2 linked regions of the Nothobranchius furzeri genome follow. The protein of the gene in region 1 binds, or shares a complex with, the protein of each later gene. Links are inferred from orthologs where the notes say so. Each region holds a gene or a part of one and is shown on either strand. Other genes may lie near its edges. The genes, in order: sin3b and phf12b.

Region 1 (3,818 bases):
TATTGGCTAAGAAGTATGATATGATGTAAACTGGTACATTATGATGTCACAATGCTGTCATGAGCCTGAGTGTGTGTGTATTTGTTAGCGGCTCCGCCCTCTCGGTCTGCCAGGCAACAGCATGTGTTGCATTTTTCAAACATAAAGCAGGAGTGGAGTTAGTCTCTGGTAGGGGTTGACTTGCTCTTTAAGCTGTTTAACTTGGACCAAGCATTTTAGGTCACAGATAGGTGTAGCTTAGGGTCTCTGTCTATACACCTTATAAGACAATTTAGGTGATGGCATGTTGTTTTTCTGCTATTGAACTGTTTTCTAATAATGCTGTGTTTAATAAAGTGAAGGAAGGAGAAAAATAACGTTTCCCTAGCAGTTTTTAAAAATGTCCCTATGTAATCCGATTAATCGATTAATCGTGTCGAGACCCCATCCGATTAATCGATTATCCAAATAATCGTTTGTTGCAGCCCTAGTATATATATATACCCAGTGTATATATATATATATATATATATATATATATATATACATGCATACAAATAAATAAACAAAAACAGAACCCTCTTTTATTTTATGTCATTCTTCAAACCATATATTTGTATTACACACTCGCCTAAAGGATTATTAGGAACACCTGTTCAACTTCTCCTTAATGCCATTATCTAATCAACCAATCACATGGCAGTTGCTTCAATGCATTTAGGGGTGTGGTCCTGGTCAAGACAATCTCCTGAACCCCAAACTGAATGTCAGAATGGGAAAGAAAGGTGATTAAGCAATTTTGAGCGTGGCATGGTTGTTGGTGCCAGATGGGCCGGTCTGAGTATTTCACAATCTGCTCAGTTACTGGGATTTTCACGCACAACCATTTCTAGGGTTTACAAAGAATGGTGTGAAAAAGGAAAAACATCCAGTATGTGGTAGTCCTCTGGGCGAAAGTGCCTTGTTGATGCTAGAGGTCAGAGGAGAATGGACCGACTGATTCAAGCTGATAGAAGAACAACTTCGACTGAAATAACCACTCGTTACAACCGAGGAATGCAGCAAAGCATTTGTGAAGCCACATCACGCACAACCTTGAGGTGGATGGGCTACAACAGCAGAAGACTCCACCGGGTACCACTCATCTCCACTACAAATAGGAGAAAGAGGCTACAATTTGCACAAGCTCACCAAAATTGGACAGTTGAAGACTAGAAAAATGTTGCCTGGTCTGATGAGTCTCGATTTCTGTTGAGACATTCAAATGGTAGAGTCAGAATTTGGCATAGACAGAATGAGAACATGGATCCATCATGCCTTGTTACCACTGTGCAGGCTGGTGGTGGTGAAATGGTGTGGGGGTGTGTTATTGGCACAGTTTAGTGCCAACAAAACACCAAGTTTAGAGCCAGTTGGGCATGGTTTAAATGCCACGGGCTACCTGAGCATTGTTTCTGGCCATGTTCATCCCTTCATGACCACCATGTATCCATTCTCTGATGGCTACTTCCAGCAGGATAATGCACCATGTCATAAAGCTCCAATAATTTCAAATTGGTTTCTCGAACATGACAATGAGTTCACTGTACTACAACGGCCCCCACAGTCACCAGATCTCAACCCGATAGAGCATCTTTGGGATGTGGTGGAACGGGAGCTTCGTGCCCTGGATGTGCATCCCACAAATCTCCATCAACTGCAAGATGCTTTCCTATTAATATGGACCAATATTTCTAAAGAATGCTTTCAGCACCTTGTTGAATCAACGCCACAAAGAATTAAGGCAGTTCTGAAGGTGAAAGGGGGCCCCACATAGACACCATTCATGCTGCTTCTTGTTGACAATATCTAAGCTAACATTCCATCTACTGGGTACAGTGAGAAGGATGTTGCTAGCTAGTTAGTCCTGTAAAATATGGCATCTATGTGTGCAAAAAAAGATTATTCCTGATCTTTTTTGACCATTTGGACAGAAGACTGGTTTTTGTGGAGCAAAAAAAAGGAGAGAAGGCTGAATCAATCGCAGGTACCGTATAAGAGCTGAGAAGCAAGAAAGTACTCAAATTTTTACGGCTGCTAAACATCATAGAACTGAAGCAAGTTTTCACATTGCACACTGTACTAAACACAGAAAGCCATTTACAGATGGAGACTTATAACCTCAGACATGTTTTTATGGGCTTGGATGAAGAGTGTCCTCAGCGCCTCCCGTAGCTGCCTGACTGCTGGACATTTAGAGCTGGGTACTTCTTAAAGTTAATAAGTGTAATCCCCAGATAACTGAACTGGCAAATGCAAAACTGGGGTAGGAATCTCAATAACATGTTTGTCCCTGTAATAACTTATGTTGGTTAGTTTTATTTTTTCATATTGTTGTGAAGAGTCCATAAATACCTGTTGCATTTCTTATGGTTGATTGGTGGTGTTTTTGAAAATTTCTGATCTGCTATTTGCCAACATCTATCAACAAATGTAGTTCAGTGAAGTTCTATTACCAGCCCAATAGTGGATCGAACTGTAAAATTTTACAGTATATGGTATGAAACTGTTGATACGCAGCATTATTAAATTTCTTCTTAATGCAACAGTTCAAATAGCTCTCATCGTCAGAAAGGTTGCCGACCCCTGAAACGGAGCATTGATCGTTCTTGGCAGCCAGTTGCTTCTAGGCTCTAAGATGAGTGTTGTGTGATTCAAATTAATGATGGTTCTGCATTACCGAAAGAGTTTGTACCATTTATTCATCTCATTTCATGCTGTTTTCTTGGTGCACATCACTTCATCTGAAGCAAGATTTTCTTCTAAGTTTAAATCCTATGTGTTTGTGTTATTTCAGCGTCAGGAGCAGAGCACAGAAGAAGGTGGTGTTGGCCATCAAGGTCGTAACAGCTCTGGCTCTACCTCATCCAGTGAACCTCACATGATGTTTACATATGAAGACAAGCAGATCCTTGAAGACGCTGCCTCCCTCATCATCTACCATGTCAAACGTCAGCCTACCATCCATAAGGATGACAAAGACCACATCAAGCGTATCATTCAACACTTTGTTCCGGATCTGTTCTTCGCTCGCCGCGGTGAGCTCAGTGACACAGAAGAATGGACAGATGAGGAGGCTGAGCTGGAGGAAGGAGGTGAAAGAGGAGGAGCTGCACCATCTGTAGCTGTAGGAGCAGCAGCAGGAGGAAATGGTAATTCAGACAATTCATCTGGAGGAGTAGTGGCCACAGGAAGTCAAACTCAACCACAGGTGGCCCTGACCCACCCATTGCAGCAGCAACAACTACAGCAGCAACTCAATGGTGAGCCCAGAAGACGACGCTGCAGCCCATCACAGCCTGGAGAAACCGAACCCTCTGCCATCCCTGGTGACATGAGCCAGCCTGCAGGGACTACCGCACCCACACCAGGCTCTTTACCCATGGAGACTGGCTCCGGTGTGGCTGGGGAGAAAGTGGACCTCCGTGACCCTGAAGCAGAACACCAAAAGGAGCTGGATGGAGTCTACAACCTTTTTTTTGTCAACAACAACTGGTATTTCTTTTTGCGGTTGCACCAAACTCTTTGTTCACGATTGCTGCGCGTTTACCGACAAGCTGAGCAGCAGCTGCTGGAGCACCGAGCAGAGCAGAGCAGAGAGAGGCTGCTGATGGCAGAAGGAAGGAGGGAGAAGGCGTGTGACCTGGCCATGGAGCTTCGCCTCAAGCAGCCCAGTAAGTTTCAGCTGCCTTAGCAATGCAAAACATAGTAGAGGAACAATTCCAACTGAAACTGAAAAATAAGTATTGAGGTGTTTAAAATCTTGTAGGAAAAGTTTAGAGATTACAGCACACATGCAT
Region 2 (4,465 bases), on another chromosome or scaffold:
AACCAAGAAAGAATCAGAGCAGGTCAGAGAGGTCGTAGTTCTGCAGGGTTAAATTAAATTCTAGAAGTTAAGATCTTTATTCTAAATATCAAGTTTGATTGGAAAAATATGTGATAATACAAAAGGCTATTAATACTGAATATGCTGATTATTCATGAGTAGCTCAACAATTTTGGTTTCGCAGTCCAGCATCAGGTATGATGACTGTCCTTAGGTGTGAGTGGGTGTGTTGTCCGACCTATCCAGGGTGTCTCCTGCATCTCGCTCAATGACTGCTGGAGTTAGAAAGCCCCCTGCAACCCTGCTGATGAAAAGCAGTTAAGAAAGAGAGTGAGCAAGAGTTTTGTTATGAACCGCCTTTTTTATTGAATAATAAAACTCTTTCCTCAAAATAAAAAACATAGTGATAATGGATAGCCTGAACACTGAATGTAATCATTATGAACATATTTAAAGCTAATAAATCAAGTCGTTCTGGATAAAATCAACTAGGCCCAACCAGAAACTGTAGAAAGAGATCACAATCATTCCATCAGCAAAGCAACTAAAACATAACCCTATCCGGCTAAACGCTAAGGCGGTGGCTCCCTCTGCTGGTGAAGCAGAGAAACATCACCAGACCAAGGACGACCAGTTTCTGCATTGTCTGAGTTTCACCCAACAGTTTGCATAAAAATATACAAATTTTTAAATGTTGCATTTTTGGAGCTTTATATTGTCCTTCCTTTAGTTTAAAAAGTAAAATAAAAGTAAATTCATTCGTTTCGAATTAATTTTAGTTTGAAAACCGTCCCGATGTTTTCTAAATTAATAACCAACAATCTGCTTATTGTGTGGAAAAGTTCTGAATCTTTTCTTCAGCGATTCAATAAACAGTTTTAACAGAAACGGAAGTTACGGTAACATCGCGAATGAGTTACTTTCAAAATATAAGCAGCCCGTTCTGCTTCACATCGCACAGGAAACGTAACACAAACAAAACAAAGCTACTACATCAAGTTTTTCTTTGAAAACTTTCCTAAACCAAGCCTTTTCCAGAAAAGTTCAGCAACCTATTTCTGCTGATTCTGCCATTCCACTAAAAAAAGACAGTGAAGGTAACAGGTTCTTTCATGAGCTGACAAGAACTTTTAAAATGCCACTTTAGGTCACTTTCAATTATTTTTAATTATTCCAATTTCATTGTACTGAAGCAATTACACTTTCTCAGCAAGAAATTGACCACAATGTAGAATTGAAAAGTACTATATGTGTAATAAAAGTATTATATGTGAGCTAAACATAAACATGAAAACTGAGGTTCATGTTTATGGATCTAAATAATGTAACCCGGAAATTTTATTTTGAAGAAACTCAAAGGAACAATACCGTATTGCCGCGTGTTTGAGCGCACAACCAAAAGCAAAGGTTTTCCTGACCATTTTAAACATTCATTGATGAGTTTAAATAGCTGAAAGTATAATAGATGAAAATAAATTGAAGCTTCATTTCTTTACTTTTATTTTAACGCCTACACTTTCTCAAAGACCTTTTTTTGTGTGTTTTGAGGCTTGAATTTTTTTAACTGCTGCAAGAGCCTTTAATGGTCTACAACGGACTCACACTTCGTTACACTCATTACAATATTAGTATCGTTACAATGTTGTCCATTTCTTTCCTTTACCAGTGCGCATGCGCGTCTGGCGGTTCGCGGTTGCGCCAACTGGTAGGATGTTGCTAATAGCCCGTGTAGATGCACAGCCGTTCCCCACAACAATAACATCTAAATTTGCATCTTCACACCCTTGAATCGAGTATTACATTTTCTAAACGCGCTCGGAAGCTGTGTTTTGGACCGAGGCACGCCGAACTTCAAAGTGGATTGTTTGGTTCTTTATTCTGTGGACAATGGGAGCGGAGGGGTTTGCAGATCTACAGGGCTCCCTTTTGCAGGACCAGAAGCGAGAATCATGGCTTGCCAGCTAGGCCGCCGATGGATTTTGTCGCCATGAGCAAATATCCATTGATCATCAAATACTGGATGTATTTTCGGTGATTGCACATAAAAGTGGTGCTACCAGGCTCGCGTCTTTCTCTGACTTCTTCTGTTGATAAGACCGAGCCCGTTAGCTTCACAACCTTGACTGGCTGACGTCTTGCGCGTCGTAGTTAGCTTTTTAGCTAGCTAGTGATAGCTAACCATCTTGCCGCTGGCCACAATCTTTAGGAATTCAACATTTTTGCGGGATTAGCACTCACTGCCGTGTATCTCAAGGAGATCAAACTTCAAAGTCTTTCCTGCAGCGTTTGCTTCTGAATGAATGTGGGACAAAATGGAAACTCCGACGATTGTGTACGATCTGGATACCTCTGGGGGCTTAATGGAGGTGAGGTTGCTACGTTTGAAGGCCTCAGTGGAAAGATTGAGCTTTTCTAGCACTCTGGTTGTTTGATGTTGTTTTACTTAGGGTAGTTATGGCCATTATAGCGTTTTTACGAGCGACTTGGTCAGTAAAGTCTGGTTAGGGTTTGTGATGTGCTCTCAAGTTGGTGGTGTCTCTCGCTTAGTTCTATGACCGAAGACTTGGTTGTTTATTTTAATAAACAACCAAGTCTTCGGTCATAGAACCTGCATTTTTTTACGTTTTTAAATTTCCTGTGTAAATGTAACCGCCCTGGTTTCATTTTACAGCAAATCCAAACTCTACTCGCGCCTCCAAAGTCCGAAGACGTGGACAAGAGGAGTCGAAAGTTGGTGAGAGACGTCCGGAGGAGCGGCAGAGCCACCAACCACGACACCTGCGACAGCTGCCGGGAGGGGGGAGACCTGCTCTGCTGTGACCACTGTCCCGCAGCTTTCCACCTACAGTGCTGGTGAGTGCTGGCTAGCAGCAGCAGCTCCGCGCGCTGTGGTGCTGCTTTAGCTAGGCGGTGAATGCTAACCATGGTGGGGCTGTAGATGCTAACCATGGTGGGGCTGTAGATGCTAACCATGGTGGGGCTGTAGATGCTAACCATGGTGGGGCTGTAGATGCTAACCATGGTGGGGCTGTAGATGCTAACCATGGTGGGGCTGTAGATGTTAACCATGGTGTGGCTGTAGATGTTAACCATGGTGGGGCTGTAGATGCTAACCATGGTGGGGCTGTAGATGCTAACCATGGTGGGGGGCTGTAGATGCTAACCATGGTGGGGCTGTAGATGCTAACCATGGTGGGGCTGTAGATGCTAACCATGGTGGGGGGCTGTAGATGCTAACCATGGTGGGGCTGTAGATGCTAACCATGGTGGGGCTGTAGATGCTAACCATGGTGGGGCTGTAGATGCTAACCATGGTGGGGCTGTAGATGCTAACCATGGTGGGGCTGTAGATGCTAACCATGGTGGGGCTGTAGAAGTCAGTTCTGCTCTGAATTACAGGAATTCCGTTATGACCCAACGGCTCTGGGACTACCAGCTGCCTGTTGGTGTTGAGCACATAATCTCTCTGTGAACGAATAAAGTTCCCTCTGCATTATCGCACACACCGGGGGATGTTGTCACGCCTATTACCTAGCTTGTTATAACCAGACGGTTGATCGTAACTTCGATGATTGCTCCAGAGGTGTGTTATTAAGGTTTGCTCTCTGCGGTTTAAACGAGGCAGAGTTGACTTGCAGTCGGTCCTCCTCTCCTGCTGCTGCTGCTGCTAAAAATGGAGTCGAGGCTGCCTCTGTTTACAATATGGCGACTTCTCTGCTCTCTTCAGCGCCATCTTACCAACCTTTACATTTCGGTGCCGAGGGGCGAAAGGTTTGCGAATAGCATTAAACCGGCGGTGTGGTTTTGTGAGTGTGTAGCGGTTGTTGTTGTTGTTGTTGATCGCTGTGACACTTCCGGTGGCGCATCAGGAACTTCTGCTTAATCACATCTGGTTGAGGAGTTGCGTTTTGGCTGTCACCTGGAAGCGATTTGACTATATTTGGTCATGGCGGTCAGTGGCAGGCTGATCTGGGACGTGACAGGTTGTGCTGAACTGTTAAACCAGCTGTGAACACGGGAATTTCCCAGCTATGCGTGATAACCCCGCACGGTAACGTGTCCCACCGCTGATGCGTTTCAGATGCCTCTGATTATTATAGAGCAGTTCCTAGATCAGCTGCTTTCATGTGGAGGAACTAGTTTTATACATATTCTACTGTAATGGCATGATCCGTCCACCAGGGGGAGTCATTGCTGGGAAAAGGCCTCCGAGTGCATTTTCAAATAGATTTGGTTTGATATTCAGTTTAAATCACGTGACTGAATGGACAGTTATCATTTCCTCCTTCAAGCCTGATGGTTTATGCTTGTTTATAGTAACCCACCTCTGAGTGAAGAGATGCTCCCGCCAGGTGAATGGATGTGTCATCGCTGTAACGTTAGAAAAAAGGTGAGTTGCAGGTGCGCCTGCACGATTCTTTTTTATTAGGTTAAGTTGTGATCCATCTTTGAGATGTTCGGGTCT

The links.
Region 2: the proteins of sin3b (region 1) and phf12b are in contact, whole or in part, in a cryo-EM structure (PDB 8BPA), measured with the Homo sapiens proteins. The link is inferred for Nothobranchius furzeri from reciprocal best matches to the Homo sapiens genes SIN3B and PHF12. Residues at the interface, in NP_056075.1 of Homo sapiens: Glu307, Phe311, Leu318, Glu322, Val323, Tyr324, Glu325, Asn326, Leu328, Arg329, Cys330, Ile331, Leu333, Phe334, Asn335, Glu343, Leu347, Pro350, Phe351, Lys354, Phe365, Lys395, Arg396, Glu490, Glu493, Leu494, Val497, Tyr545, Arg546, Ile547; in NP_001028733.1 of Homo sapiens: Leu20, Met21, Gln23, Ile24, Gln25, Leu27, Leu28, Pro30, Pro31, Lys32, Thr33, Asn264, Leu266, Val267, Leu269, Val271, Val273, Phe275, Thr276, Asn278, Arg279, Ser280, Arg282, Cys292, Pro293, Leu294, Pro316, Asn317, His318, Ile319.

The regions. Positions count from the first base shown.
Region 1 is NC_091748.1:57,489,816-57,493,633, reverse strand, and holds part of sin3b (paired amphipathic helix protein Sin3b), read left to right. Parts: intron 1-2,815; coding exon 2,816-3,692; intron 3,693-3,818.
Region 2 is NC_091753.1:61,665,435-61,669,899, reverse strand, and holds the start of phf12b (PHD finger protein 12), read left to right. Parts: upstream 1-1,655; 5' UTR 1,656-2,300; coding exon 2,301-2,366; intron 2,367-2,671; coding exon 2,672-2,853; intron 2,854-4,292; exon of another isoform or gene 4,293-4,303; coding exon of another isoform or gene 4,304-4,317; coding exon 4,318-4,390; intron 4,391-4,465.